Linked DNA regions of Oreochromis niloticus. The protein of the gene in region 1 purifies or fractionates together with the protein of each later gene. This does not show direct contact. Links are inferred from orthologs where the notes say so. Each region holds a gene or a part of one and is shown on either strand. Other genes may lie near its edges.

Region 1 (10,777 bases):
CAACTATGTGCTCTGATTGGTCCATTTTAAGTTTATTCATGTAATGAACTACATTTACTAAGTAATTTGATGGTAATCTTAGTAAAGGACAATTACTATAGTACAGATGTACAAAAATGACAGTGGTTAAACTCACATTGACTCTGTTAAGCAACTGCTTGACAAGAGGATGTTTGGGGTTGAGTTCTAGTGTTTTCTTCTGGCTGGCATAGTAACTGGAAAGATTAAACAGAAATACAGATTTAGAGCAAAGCAATAGCAGGTGGAGTAATAAATGGACATGCAAAGATCAGCACGGGATTAACACTCACTTTGTGGAAATGTCCTTTCCTGTCTGGTAGGCCTGTGCCTTCATGATCCTCTCCATGTTTCCTGACCAGCCATACTGACTGGCAACCAAGGCGCAGGGTGAGTTGGTTAGCCTCTGAGAGAGAACAGCCTTCTCAATCTGTTGGGGAATAAACAGCAATGCATTAAATGTTGCAACAGACATAAATGGGCAGCTATAGCCAAAATTAACTGCTTATACAGCTGGCACTCATTTCCCATTCTTTTAATATCACAGCATTACCTTATCCTTTAGAGCTTTGTCCTTCAGCCAAGTTGTGAGAGGTTCGAACTCCTTCTCCAGGGCCTCCCTCTTCTCCTTGGCCTTTTCACTCTCGTCAAATTTGACACCTTCCTTGGCCACGTTCTGGAAGCGTTTTCCATCAAACTCTGGCAATGCCTGGATGCAGTACTCATCCACAGGCTCTGTCAGGTAGATGACCTCATAGCCCTTCTTCAGCAGCCTCTCAACGAAGGGAGAGGACTCAGCCTGTAGCGGATGGAAGAACAAGAGACATGAGAATTTCAGCTAGTGTAGGATAGTTTACACTTCTTTCACCTGGCCAAAAACATTCACTCACCTCTTTCCTGCTGGTGCCAGCCATGAAATAGATCTTATCCTGCTTCTCCTTCATGCGCTCCACATACTGCTCCAGGCTGGACAGGTCTGTTTCACTGTTGGAGGTTTGGAAGCGCAGCAGCTTAGCAAGACGGGTCCTGTTGGAGTGATCCTCAATCACACCCAGCTTGATGTTGGTGCCAAACTCCTTCCAGAACTTGTCGTTGTACTGTTCCTCTGCAATCTTCTTAATCATGTCCAGAGTCTTACGGACCAGCTTCTTGCGGATAACCTGAAAAAGATAAAATAGGTATGACCATTTCATACTGCATTAAATCTAGTGTTAGTTATTCAGAATCTTTAACTTATGCTTTAATTTAACCATATTCTAGTGCCCCCTGTTATTCCTGAAAGCACTTTATGATTTGCGCTCATTAAAAATTGCTTTGTTGCTTCATTATCCATTTTAATCAGTGGCTTAATTGGTTAATGATGACTAAATGATGGAATGGGAAGCGAACAGGGCTGCATGTTGAGCTCACCTTGAGCAGTTTGTGCTGCTGCAGAGTTTCTCTGGACACATTCAGAGGAAGGTCGTCAGAGTCAACCTAACAAAATAAAGTTTCCCTTAATCACGGTGCAGGTGATATTAATGCAGAGACCAAGCACATAACATTAGCATGAGATCGTCGAATAAGAGTTAAAAAATAACTCACCACTCCCTTGATGAAGTTCAGGTACTTGGGCATCATGTCATTGAAGTCGTCTGTGATGAAAACTCTCCTGACAAACAGCTGCGAATGGAAGGCATTTACTTTGAAACTCAGTTTTTGGGGTATTGCTGAAAAAGTTGAATAAATCTGATGCTAAATATTGCTTAGGCTACACACCTTGATGTAATCGTTCTTCTTGGAGCCATACTCGTCAAACAGCCCACGGGGAGCTGAAGTGGGCACAAACAGGATGGACTTAAAGGTGACCTCACCCTCAGCTGTGAAGTGGATGTGAGCCATAGGGTCATCATTGTCCTGTTGGAAGATGAAAGATGGGTAAAGTTGACATTAGTATACCAGCCTACAGAGCCGGTTTGACGAAGTATTACTGGTTGTGTGCCTACCTTTGAGAAGGTCTTGTAGAAAGCCTTGTACTCATCTTCCTCAACCTCCTTAGCCGGCCTCTGCCAGATGGGCTTGATATCATTCATCAGTTCCCAGTCCCACACAGTCTTCTCAACCTACACATCACACACAATTATATAACTTTTGAAAAATATACATTTTAGATCAGACATATTTTCACAGACTGCTTTCTGAGTAAAATAGTCCATAAATCTTAATGACTCAATGGGACTTTAACCCACCATAAAAAACTGTTAATGATCACACATATGTCAATATAGTCCTCAACCACCATTTCTTCATTAACATACCTTCTTTGTCTTTGGTTTGTCTTTGTCCTCTCCTTCTTCTTCCTCTACTTCAGCCTCATCTTCAGAAGCCTCTTTCTCTGGTTCCTCTGCTGCCTCAGCATCTTCCTCAATGGGCTCTTCAACCGTCTCAGTCTTGAATGTTAAAAGAAATTATGCAACCGTTTGTTCATTTCCATATTTGCCAGTTTCAGTCTGGGATTAAGTCTGACTCATAGTGTTGAAGGAAATGACAAAGTAGTCACCTTGCTGGCCCACACATAGATGGGGAAGTTGATGAACTGGGAGTATTTCTTGACAAGATTCTTGATGGTCTCCAGCTCCAGGTAGTCTGACGCCTCCTCCTTTAGGACAAGTCTGCAATTAGACAAAGATGAGATTAAATTTCAAAGTTCAGGCTTTTATAACTTTCAGACTCATGTAGCAGCATGAAAATACTCTGCAGTTCTTCTTCAATAAAGACTGTACATTAACAACACAAAAACATTAACTACGATTTCATAAGCTTTGACAAATAACGTGAGCCATGCACACATTTCACAGGAGCTATTTGAAAGATCAAGAAACCAAATCCTGTGTGGGCAAATGTTAACACATAAATAACTTACGTGATGGTGGTTCCTCTTCCCAGTGTGTCCCCACGGGGGTCCTCAATGACAGAGAACTGATTTGAGTCAGACTCCCAGATGTGCTGTGTGTCATTGTTGTGCTTGGATGTCACAATGACCTTGTCAGCAACAAGGAAGGCGGAGTAGAAACCGACACCAAACTGTCCGATCAGCTCTGAGGTAGACTGTCCCTCTTCCTGCATCTCTGTCATCTTGTTAAGGAATTCGCTGGTGCCTGACTTGGCAATGGTTCCCAAGTTCTTTACTAGCTCCTCCTTGGTCATTCCAATACCAGTGTCAGTGATGTGCAGCATGTTCTTCTCCTTATCAGACTGGGGATAGAAATAATGAAATTAAATTAGTGGATGCACAGCTTTTCCATTAAAGGTGTCAGCATTCAGTAAGTTAATGCATACCTTTATTTTGATGGTCAGCTCTTCATTTGCGGCCATTGCATCCTCATTGGTCAGGGACAACAAGCGGATCTTATCCAGAGCATCCGAGGCATTGGAAATCAGCTCCCTAAGGAAGATCTGCAGCACAAAAAAGTGATGATGAGCTCTGTGAGAACTGTCTTAAATAAAAATATGTAGACACAGGGTTGAGTAAAGATTCCTGCCTACCTCCTTGTTCTTGTAGAGAGAGTTGATGATCAGCTTCATCATACGGTTAACTTCAGCCTGAAAGGCATGTTTTTCAGACTTTTCCCTGAGTTCCTTAATCTGAGCTGCATTCAAACCATCCAGCTGGATTGCCTCCTCCTCTCTGAAGGCAGACAGATGCAAATACAAGCAGGGTAAGAGAGGGGAACGACAGCAAATCTTTGCTGCCAAACAAATCTGTTGTCCTTTCAGATAACTAAGATTGAAGATGAAAGCAAGATATATACAACTTCCTATTATTACAAGCAAATTTACAGTAAAACTTGCACACCTCTTACCTCCACTATAACTCAAAAGTGGCCCTGAGCACCTGTACACAAGCTTTATCATCTTGACCTTGTTCTGCTAAGATTTAGTGGACTTTCCCTGATACAATAACTGCAGTTATCTAGAAAGGTATATGGAGTTACGCAAAGTAACACCTACCTCTGCACCACTTCATCGTCTGTTCTGGAGCCATCCCTGCTTTTACCCAAGTCCTCCTCGACTGTCCCGTCAACGTCAAGTTCATCATCTGCCTTTACGGCAGCTGTCAAGGGACAAAGTTGCTCGATTAAAATTCATTATCAATTACCGGGAACATGTGGTAATTTTAGACTCATTTAACATTTTTTTTTTTTTTTAAAGCACTGTGCAAACACATTCTCACAGTCACCAAATTAATTAAGACGTAACGTCTGACCGTGTTAGCTTTTTAATCATTATTTTAACGTGCATGTATGCAACAGTGGAGGTTAGCTAACATGAGACAGCTTCAACACAGATGGTGTTTCTGCTAGAAAGTTCTGGAAAGGCAAGGAGATTAACGGACAGTGGCGTTACTCTAAAATAACAGGTAAATTAAATACGCTCTTCGTCATTGGAATAATATATATAACTAGACTGTTGCTTTGACACCTGCAAGCCTTTTAAAGTCAAGTACAGGGAGAACGTGTAAACTCCACAGTGAATGAGAAGAAAAGCAAAAAACCAAGTTAGTGCTAGCATACGGGCTAAAGGTAGCTAATATAATGAATAATTTTAAAAAAAATGCCGCTACTCACCACATGCTAAGAGTGCGAAAAGAAGCCCTATCACCCAGATTCGTTTCATTGTGAGATGCTTCCTGACTGACTGCCTGACGACTTGAGCCTTCAGCTGCTGAGACAATAGCCGGGAGATCAGCGCATGCAGCACTGGTTTTTACAACGAGGAATGACTAGCCGTCTCTCCCACCAAAAGAGCCCACTCGCCTTACCCCGTGACTACCGACCAATGGCTGTGCACCACGCACGACCGTCGACCAATCACAATACAGTCTACGGTACATGTTGTCCAATCAGTTTCTTCAACATATGCCTAGACCCGAAAATCGTGGCTGGACACCATTGGCCAGGAATGAATAATCAGCACATCCTAAAATTTACCTTTCATTGTAGGGAAAACATCACTGACAGCACTTCCAAGTAAAGTTCCCGAGCCAAGGAACACACTTAAGATTAATAATCGAAAGCTGGTGAATGTTTAGTTTATGGCTCCAAGCCCGTTTCAGTCTCTACAAAAGTAAATGATGCAGTGTTTTTCGATGTGTATATGGCGTGTTATTCTGGCATTTTGCATTCCCTTTCCTTTAAATGACTGGATGCATCGTAATGCTGTGGAAGCATAAAGTATAATGAATGAGTCTATCTCAAGTGAGTCACCGAATCTGATCCACTTGGTGGCGCTATATAGTTAGCAAGCTGAAATGGCAAATGCTAATGTTTCAGGAACTAGTTCTTAGTGTTCTCCCGCAGATCAGGATATCATTATTGTGCTGCTTGCTCAGTTTGTTTTGTGTCAGGGGTGTTAGCGATCGTGTCAGCAGCGATATTTAAAAGAGATACTGTGAATCTTATTTTAAAAATATGACAACCATCGTCAATACTGAACATCTCAAATGTATTAAACTTGACTGTCTGACCACAGTGTCAGCTCCTATTAAGTGTGATGTTTCTCCAAATGTGAATGGAAAAAAGATCAGAATTAACAATTTAAAGATAAATAATAAAATACTGGGCTAGTACTTTTTTGTTATAAGGTCAATAGTTTAATTTACTACATTACAGTAAGTCATAGTTCTATCTTAAAAGGATTTTTCCAGTCTAATACAATTTTCATAAAGCATCTATAAAACAGCAAAGATTACCGAAGTTCTGTACATAAAAAGGTGGATTACATAATACATAATACAAGATATACACGCACATGCCCACACACATCAACCTAAAAGAACTGCAAAAATACACAAAACAGCCTTAATGCCTTCAACTCTTATGCTGGGTCGAAAGCAAAAGAAGAAAAACTCGTTTCAAAGGTGGACTCAAAAAAATGTTGAGCTTATGGCTGAGATAGCTTGATTCACCCTTAAGTCTTGTCTTTTGGACATAGAGGAATAACTGGTCAGTGGCCTTGAAGTTGCATAAGTTTTTCAGAGATTGGCAAAATATGTTGGTGACAGCCTATTAAGGGATTTAAAAACATACATCAAACCTCAAAAATCAATTGTAAAATACACAGGAAGCCAGTGAAAGGAGGTTAGGACAGGGGGGATATGCTCCATTTTATGGGTTCTATTAAGAAGATGAGGAGCTGCATTTTTTAAGCAGAATTAATTTGTTTACCCAATTTTAAGTCACAATCCTTCTGCTTACCCAATCCAAGATCATAATCCACAATTCAATGTGAACCTACACAGGAAACACATGCAAACTCCACACAGAAAGGTCTCAGCTGGCTGGTGGATTCAAACTCTGTACCTTCTTGCGTTTAAGTGTCAGTGGTAACCACTGCGCCACTATATCATTATTAGTCAAAGTTAAGTTTATCACTGTTGGGTTACTTGTTGATCACAAACTTCAGGCGGGCAGGCCTGTCACTATTTGGACAATCACACAGTTTTTGTGATTTTGTCTCTGTTCACAACGATTGATTGTCTGATTTAGAAACCACAGTGGATTCTAAATCAGACAATCAATATGTGCTTGAAGTGCACACTTTCAGCTTTAATTCACTGTGTTTAACAAACCCTTTGCAGTCACTGTTTAGAAATTACAGCACTTTTTATACATAGTAGATTAGATTAGATTAGATTAGATTAGATTAGATTAGATAAAACTTTATTAATCTCTCGGGTGGGTTCTTCCGGGAAATTCGGTTTCCAATAGCACAGCACCGACAGAAGTTACAGAATGTGAGCAGAAATATACCATATATACACATATATAAATACAGAGTATACAAAAGGGATTAATAGAATAAATAGGAATAAGAATACAAGGGAATTGCAAATTTCACGTATTGGGAGTCTATTGCACCGTTGGATATTAACAAAAAGTATTGCACAGTGAAAAGGCACTACAGCTTAGTTGTCCCCCCCTCCTTTGTCCTCCTGTTTCCCCTCCCTCTCCCCTCCAGAGAGGAGTTAAACAGTTTGATGGCGTGTGGGACAAAGGAGTTTTTAAGTCTGTTGGTTCTTGTCTTTGGGAGAAGCAACCTGTCACTGAACAGACTCCTCTGGTTGTTTATGGCCGTGTGCAGAGGATGCCCAGCATTGTCCATAATGTCCATAATGTGCCCTATTTTCAGGAGTTTCATGGCCAGGTGAGGCCTGTTCCCTCATTACTCCATGACAAATCAAGGAGATAAAAGATCTGCAGTTCATTCCAAGTGCTGAACTTGTATTTGGTTACTTTCACTGGAAATCTCAATTAGAGTTCCAAAGAGATATTGATGCAAGTGAAAAAACAACAACAATCATTACACTAAATCCCAAATACACCTATCAGAGAGATGGCAAAACCTTCAGGAGTGGCCAGATCAATGAACTGATACCTTCTTAAAAAGAAATACACTGGCAAGTTCAGCAAAACCAAAAGACCTGAAAGACCACAAAATAAAGTGGATGATCACAGAATTCTTTCCTTGGATAACTTTGATGAAAGGCAGAGTCTTTTCATTTGAAAAGCTCACATATGTATGTGAGATACTTAATATCTAGCTGAAAATGTTAAATGTTTGGACTGAGAGATTTTGCATTTTCTTTTCCTTTTTTGGTATCAACTAATGAGGCAGACTAATTATGTGATTGGTTTGGTAAGAGCATCCCAGAGAGGAATGATAAGTTATCAATTAAGGAATAGCTTCCCACTTACATTAATATAGAGCAAACTGAACAAGACAATGTTCGTTGTCTTTAGATATAAACCTTGAATTTGGAAAAATTAACAAAGTCCCAGAGTATCTAATGATCTAAGACTCTAAATCTGTTCACATGGGATTTCACAATTTCTGCTATGTAGCTAGTCCATCTAGCTAATATTAGATAGATGTGATGTCATCTGCTAAAAAAGTAAGAAGCACATACTGTATTAGCCTAATAGCTATATTGTGAGCTATCTGGAGGTGAAATAATGACTTTTGGTGTAGCACTGATCAAAAGTCTTGAGCCCTCCCTCCACCTCTGCATAGGAGGTGAAAGTTTTAGTAGCATTTGCATGCATATGTGCACGTCATACTTTCAGTCTGTAAACACGATAGCCCCAAAGGTTTTGAATGAATTATGATAAAACTTTGTCGGGGTGTAGATGATGTCATGTTCACAATCCATTAAAATGTAGCTCACATCCACCAAGGTCTTCAAGGTCAGCTTAAGGATTAATTTGTCAAAAATTGACAAAAATATTTGTGTCATTTCACATTTTACCTCTGACCTCTCCTTCAGGGTCAGTAGATTATTCCGAAGGTCAAACTGATATAGAGCAACTGCATTTGTTTTTGTTGACAACATATAGACATACAGGGGCGGCACAGTGGTTAGCACTGTTGTCTCACAGCAAGAAGGTCCTGAGTTCAATTCTGCCTGGTTCTTTCTCCACACAAAAAGAACCCATGCCTGCTGGCAGAATGCTTGAGGGGTTCTCTCTGGGTACTCCAGCTTCCTCCCACAGTCCAAAGACATGCTGTTAGTGGGGATAGGTTAACTGAAAACTCTAACTTGCCCATAGGTGTGAATGTGGGAGTCAATGTTAGTGCAAATGGTTGTCTGTGTCTATGTGTTAGACAGGGTGTACCCTGCCTCTTGCCCTAAGACCCTGAAAAATGATAAGTGAATACTCATGGGGATTTCAAGTATCATATTATTGTTTGCATCCAAATATTATGTCACATTTGACCTCTGACCTCATCGATTTGGGTGGTGGATCTTTCCGAAATTATGGGTGCAACACACCTGCAAAGAAGGGTTGACGGTGAGTAACAGACTTATAAAACTACACTATTACACCAACACATCTTGGTAATGCTGTACAAGCATACAGCGAATGAGTGTACCGCTAATCTTTATCCACTAGGCGGCACTATTTAGCTATTAACATAAAATATGCACATTGTAGCAAACACAAATGATAGAAAAACAGTGGTGCAAGGTTCTCCCACAAATGTGCATATTATTCTACTGCTTGCTCATTTTGTTTACATGTTCACGTGGGCAGATGATCTGAATGTAACAAGCAGAAGCTAAAAGAGACACCACTCTTTCTGACAATCCTCGTCCCCATCCCTAAAAGGAAGAAAGGAAGGATAGATAGATAGATAGATAGATAGATAGATAGATAGATAGATAGATAGATAGTCTGAGCATGTCCCAAAAGGTTGAGTTCTGAATTTGCTGGTTGATGTTTGTGGCTCCTGTTTGAATCTGTTTGATTTAGCATTCTTCTTTTTTTTTTATTGCCAGAGACAATACTGTGGGTTTGAACACTGCAGGATCTCTACTCTGTAATAACACATTTACTACGTGTAGCCTATCTGTGATCCCAAATGATGCAAGGGCAGTAAGGAGCGAGCATAAAGTGTTAAAAATATGCATCTTATATACATTTATACATATTATTATTATTATTAATATATTCAGGCTATGGGAGGCACTGAACGTCAAACGCACGAGCTCCTGATTGGCTGGCTGGTCGTGACCTTACCAAACAGGGAAGTGACGCAAGAGCAACTACACAGCGACAGTTTCTGTTTTTGCAGAGTGAGCCCGTTAGTGCATGCAGTCGGCTGGGGAGTACTCCGCGACCTCCGCACGGTCCGCCACGCTCTGAACGAAGCTATGGCGCCCTGGTCTTTGCCGCTCTCGTCTCTTCTGAAACACACGGACTGTCTGCAGAGGGCCAATATTTTCTGTAATGTCGTACAGGGGCTACACCACCACCACCACCACCCGGTAAGGTCTCGGTTATGGAAGCGGAATTTCAGAGCGGTGTCCCAGGGAGTCGGTCAGCTACTCTCCCACCAGCCCAGAGCCGGAAAGTGCGCAGCATCTGTTTGTAGCAGCTCCTTAGACGGTCAGAACACGACAGAGAGGCTGTGGTCTGTTTACGATGAGACCAAAAGACAGACTGGAGGTATGGTCACTGTTCACAGTGAGGCGGCTCCTCATTAATAGTTACAGCCCTGCCCTAAATACAAAGCTGCTGTTTCTTTATAACTCTGTTATGGCCTGTGTTTCCTGCTGACTAATGCCCTACATCTCACCATTCCTCTATATTAATTGCCTCTCAGACAGCAGACTGTAAATGTGGAAATTAGGTTGTACCTGTCTCTGTGACTTGATTTATTTGTGTCTCACTGATGCTAACAAATCCCCAATGTCTACATTTCTGAACCTTAAAACCTGAATGTTTTTATTTATTGCATCACTGATTATTGATCTTTTTTAAAGGTCAGAATTTGTTGGGAAGTTGACATTGAAGGGTTAAATCAACACTGTGCTGATGTTTGACTGAGGTGTTCTTTTACACACCTTTTGTCCACTCCTGAATGAGAGAGTAACCTTGGGAGTTGGTGCGATTAGCACTGTTGCCTCACAGCATGAAGCTTCCTGGTTTGAACCCTGTTTGTGGCCCTCTGAGTGGAGTTTGCATGGTCTCCCTATCAATGTGTGGGTTTCCTCCACATGTTTTAGCTGCCTTCCACATTCCAAAGACATTCATGTCAGGTTGGTGTTTCTAAACTGGCCATGGATGTGAGATAGATAAAATATTTTAGGTGCATAGAATCAAGAGCTGTATGAATGCATGTCCCCCCCCCCTTTCTAATGTATTAGTTTTTACATATTTGTCACACTTACATATTTCAGATCCTCAAAAACTTATATTCACACTTTGATGGTTAG
Region 2 (10,658 bases), on another chromosome or scaffold:
CATCTTCTGATAAACTTAATCTCCTTTAGAAGGGCTAAAGAGTTGACTAAAGCCATATCTCTAAACAGACAGCTGCATATGAATATCTGGGGAACGGAAAGCTTTCTTGATTTCATTTCCTCTCCTCTTTTAGTTCTTGTTCTAATAATCAGTCTCATCTGAGTGTGCAGTTAAGTCCCCATGTGAGCAAAGCACTTCCCTCAATTAATCTCAAAACCATTAGTTTTCAGATGGCAATTTTTCTTTTAATTAGTTTTGGGGTTTAGGGTTGTTTAGCACTAAAGAACTGGCTGCTCCATGAGATTAAGACAGCTGACTAGGTGACAGGTTCCTTAATTTAATAAGGCCAAACAGGTTTACTTTTTGGACCCTATAAGGTATCAGGATGACCAAAATATTTCACATGCCAAATTTTGTATTTTTTCCACCCGAACTCTTTTAGGGTCACAGAAAAGAAACATGCTGTCATAATCTGAACTAATGTCTAAGTCACAGTTTTAATTTTTCCAGAAAAACTAGCCAGCGTCTCCCACCTGACCTCCCTCAAAAATATTCAGAATTATTTCGACACAGAAGGAATCGCAAAGATGACTCTGGCATTAAAGTGGAGGTAACATGGAAACCGTTAAGATGCTATAACTTGTTTTGACTAGACAAATTTGCTGAAAATGCACATTTTGGATAAAGTTGAAAAGTTAAAAACTCCAGGGTGCCAATGCTTGTTTCTGTTACTCTCCTTCACAGACATTAAACTGGTGCAGCTTTTCTGTAGAGGATGTTATATCCTAAGATATCCAAGATACTGATGATCAAAAGAGGTTACTGGCAAAAATGGATTTTGACTTTAGATTGGGATACTCTGAGTTAATGCTAAATTAATTTGGTTGCAGTACGAAGTAATGTTTTGCACAGCTCATTAAATGTGCTAAAGTTACACTACAAAAAGAACAATTTTTTTTTTTTTTTAACTAAGACTCAGCTGAGTCTGAGGAGCTCAGGCGAGCCTTTTAAGGAAAGCAATCATAAAACATATTCATGTTCGAAATGTCTGCTGCATGGGATATATTTAAAAGTAAAAGGCTTGTAAATCTGCACAGGCATGCCCACACTTTTGCATATGAGTATTTGGATTAGCAAGGAGGAAGTCAAAACTTAAAAGAAAAAAAAGTGAAACACGCAAATAAACTCAAGCAGGATGTGTTCCAAATGCAAATATCTCACCCGGACTTCAGTCTCTCTGGGATTTCCATTTAGGTCACACTTAGAGCCATTTACATAGGTCTGGCTGTGGTATCGCTTTAGCCTGTGCTGTTTGGAGGCCTGAGAGAAAAAACACAATGGATGCACCCACGATTGTTTGGTTCATATTGTACAGTCATGCAAATCAGCCACAAAATAGAGGCAACTTTACCTTTGCTGTTTCATTGCTCCAATCAAATTCTGACTCATAATAACCCAGGAAGAGAATGTCCCCTTTGATCTCTGTGTCTAAGGACAAAAGAACAAAATTAGTCAAAAACAATAACTGAAAGTTAAGAAAAACAAAACAAAACAGAGTAGTGGCCTCTCACCTTCAAGGTGGTATTGTCTGATATGCTGGCCATGGCAGAACTCGTACGTCCACCAGTCCTTCGTCTGCAGGACATATATTTCTGTTAGACTTTGACACAGTGCATAAGCCTGAAATGGTCCCACGCACATATTTGTAAATGAGGCCTATTTTTCAGGAAGTCTTGTGGTTTAATCAGATGTAACTTTGAAAATCTAAGTCAGACTCCTCTAACTGTACTGTTGTGAACTTTAACATTTAACATTCTAACTGCGGCCTGTGGAGTTTGAGATAGCCTCTTGGGTATTTTTCCAGTTTTTCTGAGGACTGCACAGGCTGACCTTGGGTTTTACTGGGACATCAACTCCTGGGAACATTGGCAGCTGTCTCAAATGTTGGGAAAAAATCTTATTTACTGTAGAATGATGGAGTTCATTTTGAAGGCAATAGCTTTATAATGCATCAAGACTGATGGGCAGTAACAACTGATTCTTTGAGATCTTTGGTGTTGTTTTTCCTCGTTGGCACTGTGCTAAGACACCTAAATGCTCATGATCAATTAATCAAGCACATTTGATTAACAGCACAAGGCTGTGACTTAACCTCTTTATGCCTATGGAAGCTGAAAGTGTGACAAACTTTCTTTGTCACATGACTATACAAAAAACACATTGTAACGAGATACATTTTTTAATATTTTCAAGGTGTTTTTGCTCTAACATCCAGTCATAGTGGATAAAATGCACTGTGAGCAGGAAAATAGTGATAAAGTACTTGTGGGCTTTTGGGTAAACCTTAAATTAACACATTAAGCTGAACAATTGAAAACACAGGTACATTAACAGATGTTTGTCTCTTAGATATACTGCTTTTGTACCCAGTCACTGATGCAGACAAGCAACCTTTAATCCAGTGAATACTGAATCAAGAGCCTCCCAGTGTTGTTTTGGCAAGCTTCTGGTGCATTCACGTGTGTCTTTCAAATAGCTTACTTAAGCTGGCAAATATACTTAACTTACAGTCACTTCCAGTGTGTTTTGCTCTTGTTCTTATTGTTGTATTATTTTTGTAGCCACATCACAGTATAAACAGCTTAAGCATTTCACTGTTGGATTACACAGATAAGTAGTTAAAGACCAACCTTGACTAGACATGGGGCATTGTGCATGGGCTTGAGCAGGTCTGGGATATCTGGCCCAGTGTAACCCTCCGAGTCAGGCTCAGTGGCGGGATCCTGATGAAAACGCACAGCCTGGGCTGGAAGTCGACACTCATAGAGCTGTTTGTACTTACTGGACACCATCATAACCTCCTCTGTCTTAGTCTACAAACGTAAGACAGGCATGGAAAAGGGGGCGAATTTAATGTTGACACACATGGGCACACATTACCAATGCATTACTTGAGTGCAGACAGATAAAAACATGGCTTGCGGCTTTCTATGGGCTCAAAATGTGGTCATAAATATTTTGTACTTGTAAATCAGTTTTGTACTTGTAAATCAGGATTTGTATGTGTAAAAAGAATTTGTGTGTGTGTAAAAAAGATTTGTATGTGTAAAAAGAATTTGTGTGTGCGTAAAAAAGATTTGTATGTGTAAAAAGAATTTGTGTGTGCGTAAAAAAGATTTGTGTGTGGACTTAGCCAAAAAAAACCCCTGCAAGTTACAAGTACGAATTTTGACTCTATTTTTCTTCCTTTCATCTGATTGTTCAATGTCATGTCAATCACAAATGTAACAATCCAATCAGAGAACAGATGGGTTTGGCTGTCGGAGGGGCACTTTTTTGAACTGCAGGTCCTTGAAGGGTAATACAGTTTGAAGCTGGAGGATCTCTATATAAATATCCGATAGCAGCTAGGTCCGCTAACTTTCAGCAGCTGTTGAAAGGATAAAGTTGTGGTATGCCAGTGGTTAGACATACCATTATTACTTTAGGATTAGTTTAACACAAAGTCAGGGCTGACCCGGGACCATTGCTGTGAGTCACAGTGAGCAGCATAAAAGTCCTTTCACATCGAGCACAGGATGTGCTGCTAATGCTAACTAAACGCAAAGGATCCAGAATTTGTTGCGCTGGTTGCTGGGCTCTGTGGTTTTTTGCAGCAGCTCTACCTGTACTAGATGCACCTGCTCCTTGTCGTTTCTATCTCTGACTTTATGTCCTCTACAAGAGTTTCTGGGGGTTTTTTTTTTGCTAGTTCTTCGAATGTTCAATAAAAACATGTATGCTAATTCATAACGAAGAAAGCTTTGTAATGAAGACTGTCATTTCCAAAACACTGCCCGCCCCCCCCCCCGCGGTCCGCAGCGCTGTCGAAAAGGCTGTGGAAGTCCCTGTATTAAACACGTAGACCTGTGACACAAAAGTCACCAAACTCGGACGACCACAGACTGTTTTCCTTCGTGGTGATGAAGGAAAACACTGGGTTGGCATGTAAAAGGGCATTTATTCCCTTCAAAGACCTGCAGTTCAAAAAAAGTGCCCCTCCGACAGCCAAACCCATCTGTTCTCTGATTGGATTGTTACATTTGTGATTGACATGACATTGACCAATCAGATGAAAGGAAGAAAAATAGGGTCAAAATTCGTACTTGTAACTTGCAGGGGTTTTTGGCTAAGTCCACAAACAAATCTTTTTTATGCACACCCAAAGTCTTTTTACACATACAAATCTTTTTTACGCACACACAAATTCTTTTTACACATACAAATCTTTTTTACGCACACACAAATTCTTTTTACACATACAAATCCTGATTTACAAGTACAAAATATTTATGACCACATTTTGAGCCCATAGGGCTTTACTTTCAGCTAGTTACTTATAGACCTGTGGCAATGAACATAACAGCTGTCACAGCATGCTGCGTACTTCACCTGAGAATTACTAGTCTTCATGTAATTTTATAAGATTTATTTTCATATGTTTTGTGCTTTTATGACATCAGGTCTCACGCTGTGTGAATTATTTGACACTATTAATAGTAAATAAATAACGCTAGCTCATATTTAAGCTAACAAGCTATATCCGTTAGCATTTCCTGACTCACCTGCCCCAGGATGACAGGATCGGGAAGAATCTGAATCCCATATTTCATCTCATTAAGCTCCTCCAAATTCAAGAAGCCCGGGACACAGAGGGGACATGCCAACAAGAAAACGTACAGTCTCTTTAACAACCAAACCAAGGAAGCAGCCATCATTGACTCTCGCCTCTTACCCCTGTCTGACAGCAACAACACACAGAATGCCTGACATGGTAGCAGCGGATTGGTCGAGGTGAAAAGCCCTGCTTTGTCATTGGCCAATTTCCAAGTCAATCAAAGTTTTTCCCCAGTTCTGGGGTGCGTTTGGTTTTCATACCAGCGGACAGTCAATGAACGGCGTGTTTGTGCTATATATAGCATGCTAATGAATAACGGCCAATGACTGATAATGGCCCACATCTCCGCTGTCACCGCCTGACTTGCGATGAAATAGGCTCACACTTAAGCACGAAGACAAGGCGGCCTGTCGCATGGCCAAATAACAATCACGAGTTTGGGGGGGGGTTCTTCGTTTGTTTCATTTTGTTTTGATGCAAAACAGTCCGAAGTAACTGATTTTAAAGGTTTACATTGACAATTAGGTACAATGATGACAAAACGATAAAATGATTCATATGACACCCAAAACGTACACACCGAGCTGAGCGAAAAGTGCAGTTCTGGGTTTAAATATCTGGTGAGGGAAAAATCAAGACAATTCCTTGAAGAAAGAAAGCATTCCTTAACAGAATACCAGAAAGGAGGGGAGGACAGAGGGTGTGATACTGTAGAAGCTGAATAAGCAGTACAATATTTATCGGCTGTGTGAACAGACGCCCACCACACACCCACGCACCAATCTAAACACGTATGTAGACATAAATGTTACTGTTTGATCATAATTCTACTTTTTTTGAGAAATCGTGCAGTCAGTTCAGTGGTATCCTCTCCTCTGTGTCTGTGTGTGTGCGTGCTCAGCTGACAGACCACTGATGGGTCTGGTGTAGCGGTGAAATCGGTGCGCTCGCCGCTGCGCCGCAGCCGCTGTTGCTGCAGGGGGAGCATCCGTCCAACAGCCTGCAGTGTTGCGATGCGCGGCCGCTCCGTCTCTGCGCCGCTTCCCCCCACATAATTCCATTTTCAAGACCTCCGAGGAACAGATCCGTGAGAGAGGGGCGAGCTCCGTGCAGCAGGGAGGTGAAAGAGTCTGCAGTGTGCGTCTTAACTGAGGTGAGCTGTGGGGTTATTTGATTTTTTCTACAGTGGGGTGCTGCTTTAAAGGCCCGTGTCTCCGTCTTCGGCAGGAGATTTTTTTTTCGGGGGTTGTTATTTCTCAGCTCTGGCTGAACGTTTGAAAGCTTCTGTGATAGACAGGGGAGGGGATAGGCATGAGATTTTTTTTATTTTTCATTTTAGACATAACATGGTGGTAAAATAACTAAATACACACTATGTCTTTGTTCTGGAGATGTTTTTCAGCATATTAGAAGTGCTGTTTAAAGATAATTTCGGATGCATGGGTTTTTGTTTTCTTTGTAGGGTTTTCTTGCGCTCACTCAGAATAAGGTGGGCTAATAGGCCTGTGTGTAGCCGGGTATTTATATTCGCTACCTCGGATTTCTGCACACACATTCGCATTATTTTTTTTCCCATATTTTCCTCATGTTTCACAGTACGAAGGGAGGTGTGCTAATTTTGTGCTAATTATCCCAAATAGTCCGAAACATGCGAGCAAATCTGTCACGCGGACTTTGGTAGTGACCCACGGACTATATGCATGTCCATAGCATGTTCACCGCGGCGCTCCCTACCATAGGGTCGTTAGTGTGCAGCACACGCCTATGTTGTGATTGGCTTAGATCATCTGTTATGTATTAGGGCTGTTCCACTATCGCTGATAATTATTATTCCGACGGGGTGGGGGGGGGATCAAATCTACGAGGCCTGCAGTAATGCAAAACATTATCTTCAAAGATATGCATCATGTCATGTTGTCTTACCTTACAATCTCTGTTGAAATACAGTACTGTGCAAAAAGTCGAGACCAACCCCTCATTTTTTATATTTTGATTCCAGGAAGCCAGATTTGTAATTATTTAAAAAGTGGACATCCTGAAGGTCTTAAACATTTTTCTTTTTAAGTCGTTGGCTGCTTATTGACCTAGTTTCAGTCTGATCCTTGTACCTGAGCAATCTCACAGGAATGTTTTTGTTATTGCTGTTTTGTAAGCCACTGATCTATAAATAATTCAAACATAATCAGGGGATGACATGTGTGGTGTCCACATTTAGTAAACAACTTGGCAAAGAACCGATTCTAAAAAAATTTTTTTTTTTTTTAAACAACATCAAATTTGCTCCCATTTCCTTTCCTTTTGGAAGGGTGGTGGTCAAGAAGGGAAACTGCGAGAAAACTCTGAGGTATAGGAGATTACCGATTACACAAGAACTAGACTGAAAGGTACAACAGGGAGTGTCCAAAGCCATCTGTAAAATGCAGTGTTTAAGATCTTGTCAAAATTTATGAAATTATGAACACAGAAAAGTATTGTTAGATTTATTAGGTATCATTTTCCAGTCTGACAGTGATCCCAACACACTATCAGTGGAGTAAAATATACCTTAATCCATGACTATGTGTCATGGATTGGCCTCCCCAGAGCTTTACCTCAACATTAATGAAGCAGTGTGGGATCATCTTGACTGAAAACAGAATAAAAGGCAGACAACATCCAAAGAAGAGCTTTGAATGTCCTTCAAGAAACCAGAAGAATTATTCCTTAAGACTACTTAAAGAAATTACAAGAAAGGCTTGCCCAAGCGTTCAGACTATGATAAGAAATAAAGGTGGCCATACCAAATATTGACTTTCAAGCTTGTTATAGTTGTAAAAACACTCTTTTTTCCTTGCATACATATCGATTTGGCTAAATTAATCTCCTAAAAAAGAAGAAATTGAGTTGCAGCCTGAAAACCTTCATGAGTTTGCTAAATATGAGTTTATAATAAATTTCTGGGATGAGCTGATTGGCTGCTAGTTCTGATCCTATTAATCTTTCCCCTGTATTGATTGAGTTTTTCCCCTCCAGCCCTTTGTAAAACTAATATCCTCTGGCAGCTGTGGTACCATGCAGTCACTTAATGAAACACTACATGGTCACTTACCTCATGATAATATAAGTTTATATGCACTCTAGGTTTCTTAATAGTACATTCTGTTATATTATTATTAGTTGTTATCCATTTTTTCAGCCTGTACTCCTTGATTTGTTTTTTGTTCTTTCCAGATGGAGAAGGCGCTTGCTCATTTCCACAAATGTTTACATGGTTTCTGGAGATGCAGGTGTCAACAGAGGTTTTCCTTTCAATGATTGGATAGAGGCAGTGAGGTAGATATTCCTATAAATACTTTTTAAACTGCTAGAAATGAAAGTCTGTCTGCCAAGGATTAGGTTTCATTTAATGTCTTATCTCCTACATTTGTGGCAGTGAATTTAGTGTTGGTATAATTAGATCATTGTAAGCAAGCCTACACACACACATACACATACATACAAGAGACATAGATTTAGAGTCTCGATTCCATCACTTCAAAGGTTTTCCACATTATTTCTAACACTAGACTTTTCCTACTTTGAACATAAACAAAGTCTTCATCATTAGATGTAAACATTTATGTCTTTAACAAGAAGGCAGGATTCCCACTATGTAGCTGTGTTTATTATTTACGTTCCCACAATATGAGCAATTCATTTACAAGGATTCCATCGCACCCACACCCAAATGCATGCAGAATCAGAAATGGAGTTTTAGTTTGTCGCAGCTGGAGGAGAAAGAGTTTATTGTGTGCTGGCAAGTTTCTGAAAGGGGAGACATCTGCTTTCAGTTATACAGAAGAAGAAGAATCGAGGAGAAAAAATATGGGAGGGGAATGAGGGATCGGAAGGCATTCATGATTTCATTATGCTGATTCTTTCAGCAGATATCTAGATCTCTTCTCATGGCTCCTCTGTGAGTGCAACCACAAAAATGTGAATAATTTTCCATGGATCTGTAGCTGTGATGATGACTTAGAAAATTTTCTGAGACTAAAATTAATACGGGGCCTCTTCAATTAAACAACTTCCTGCGGGCTGTTTTTGGGTTGAGCTGAAGTGGAAGGGGGGGGGGATGACATGACATAACCTTTTAACTTTAGCAAAACCTCACAAAGTTGTCACACAAAACAGAGACTGCTGATTTTGTTCCCATCACTTACATTGCATTCCTGTTCGGAAATATCTTCAGAGTATAATTATAAAAACCAGAACGTCATCCAACATACTAATCTCTGACAGGTTCCAGGATGCGGTCCATGAGGAAGACGGTGTTGCTAGTCATCCTGGTATCTGTGGTGCTAGTACTGGCTCTCCTCCATTCGTGGCCCACTCGGGGTTACACCACAGTGGATGTTTGGCAGCGACCAGCGTTTATAGTAGAGAGGCATCTGGAAGAGAGGGTCCCTGAGTCAGACCATCGATTGAGCAATATTCCCTTCCATGTAAGGGATAATGTGGCGAGGTAAGTAATGCTATTTTGAACCAAAGCGGACAGACCTGAGCTTAAATCTGATCACACGTGTCTTATAATCTGTCCAGTTTGCTGGCACGTAATGGATGCATATGTGAGGGCGAAAGTGGGGGGGTAAACCTACCGTTCGCACAACTCTTGTTCCCTCGGGTGTCAGCTCACCCGCTGCACACTGCCTTCGAGGCTTCAGAGCTGGAGGAGATGAAGAGGAGACGGGCTAAAGAGTACAGCAGCTTTCAGACGAGGTAAGGAGTACTTAAGAGGTGTTTCACATTTTTTATCTGTGTGGCTAAAATATTATTATGCGGCCTGATGTGTTGTTTTACTTAAATTAAATAATGATGTAACAAAATGTGTTACTTGAAATAATCCATCTGTCTCAGCGCACGCTACAGGAAATTGTTTTTTAGACTTATCTATCTCTTACATGGAAAATCATCCACAATCTCACATCACTCTTGTCATATACTAATCTGCTTCGCTTTGTGGTTTGTTACTACGCAGTTAGAATAAAAACACATTACATTAACCTGCAAACATTAACCTGAGATCAACTATCAGAGAAAAGTCACACAGTTTGAATGCACATGCATTAGAACATATATAAACACAGACCTCGCTTTTTGCATGCTTCCAGTACACAACCAGCAGCCTTAAAACCTCCCCGCTTCTCTGTGGATCGTGCAGGAGTTGTGCATTAATAAGACTACATACACGGGTATTTTTGAAAACGCAGCTTTTTCTATTTGTTTGGGCCTTTCGTCCACACGCAAAAGCGTTTTGGATCACTGAAAATAGAGATTTTTTAAAAACTCAATTTTTGCCTTTACGTCTGTACGAAGAAAACAGAGATTTAGCCTCACAACGTCAAAGGTGAGCGCCTTTTTTGATGTCAAGCTTTGCACCACGTTATTGTTTACATGAGATGAATTTCTACAATGGCAAATATAGATAAAATACCCTTGCTTTTAATCTTACTATCTGCATTTTTTACACGGTAACACATACACACACAGTTACTGTCCCTCCATTTAGAAACACAGAGGCATCAGAGTGAACGTCGACATGGCTTCTACATTGAACACAGACACTGTCACAACCCAAATCTCGACGCCAACGTCATCGTCGGTTTTGAATAAATGTAATTTTTAAAAAATTAAACGTATGTATGCTGTATGCATTTTGTCCATTCCTAAGTTGTGAGTCTACACCAGCCATATTTCATTATTATAAATCACTCAGACTAATGTAAAATTTTCAGTTTCTTTATTGAATAAACTCTGGCCGAGAGAGCCAGTGACACAAAATCCACTGAATACTGACTTTAGTTATTAACATTTGAAATGATGAAGGCTATTAAAAAGTAACACAAAATTCGCCGCCTTTCCAGAAAAACAAAAACTTTTCAGAAGTACAGAAGGTTTTGTGAGGGCACAAAACCCTGTTTACTCTTTCCCTCTCAGGCTTGTAGACCTCTGATTGGTCAACATTTCTACACGGTTAGGATTT

What was found. Proteins that work in one complex are often made in the same cells at the same time.
Region 2: the proteins of hsp90b1 (region 1) and os9 purify together in Homo sapiens (affinity purification with mass spectrometry; 6 studies listed by BioGRID and IntAct, with this or other methods). This does not show direct contact. The link is inferred for Oreochromis niloticus from reciprocal best matches to the Homo sapiens genes HSP90B1 and OS9.

The regions. Positions count from the first base shown.
Region 1 is NC_031972.2:48,746,349-48,757,125, reverse strand, and holds the start of hsp90b1 (endoplasmin), read right to left. Parts: upstream 4,796-10,777; 5' UTR 4,675-4,795; coding exon 4,626-4,674; intron 4,112-4,625; coding exon 4,009-4,111; intron 3,686-4,008; coding exon 3,544-3,685; intron 3,454-3,543; coding exon 3,337-3,453; intron 3,253-3,336; coding exon 2,921-3,252; intron 2,670-2,920; coding exon 2,558-2,669; intron 2,448-2,557; coding exon 2,316-2,447; intron 2,121-2,315; coding exon 2,004-2,120; intron 1,915-2,003; coding exon 1,777-1,914; intron 1,681-1,776; coding exon 1,603-1,680; intron 1,495-1,602; coding exon 1,429-1,494; intron 1,179-1,428; coding exon 909-1,178; intron 818-908; coding exon 572-817; intron 449-571; coding exon 312-448; intron 216-311; coding exon 137-215; intron 1-136. Other genes in the region: nt5dc3 (5'-nucleotidase domain-containing protein 3), read left to right, coding at 9,713-10,007.
Region 2 is NC_031970.2:23,290,786-23,301,443, reverse strand, and holds the start of os9 (protein OS-9), read right to left. Parts: upstream 4,933-10,658; 5' UTR 4,758-4,932; coding exon 4,605-4,757; intron 2,874-4,604; coding exon 2,691-2,873; intron 1,636-2,690; coding exon 1,572-1,635; intron 1,489-1,571; coding exon 1,412-1,488; intron 1,321-1,411; coding exon 1,222-1,320; intron 1-1,221. Other genes in the region: b4galnt1b (beta-1,4 N-acetylgalactosaminyltransferase 1), read left to right, coding at 8,926-9,140, 9,218-9,394. UniProt on the Homo sapiens protein: Lectin component of the HRD1 complex, which functions in endoplasmic reticulum (ER) quality control and ER-associated degradation (ERAD).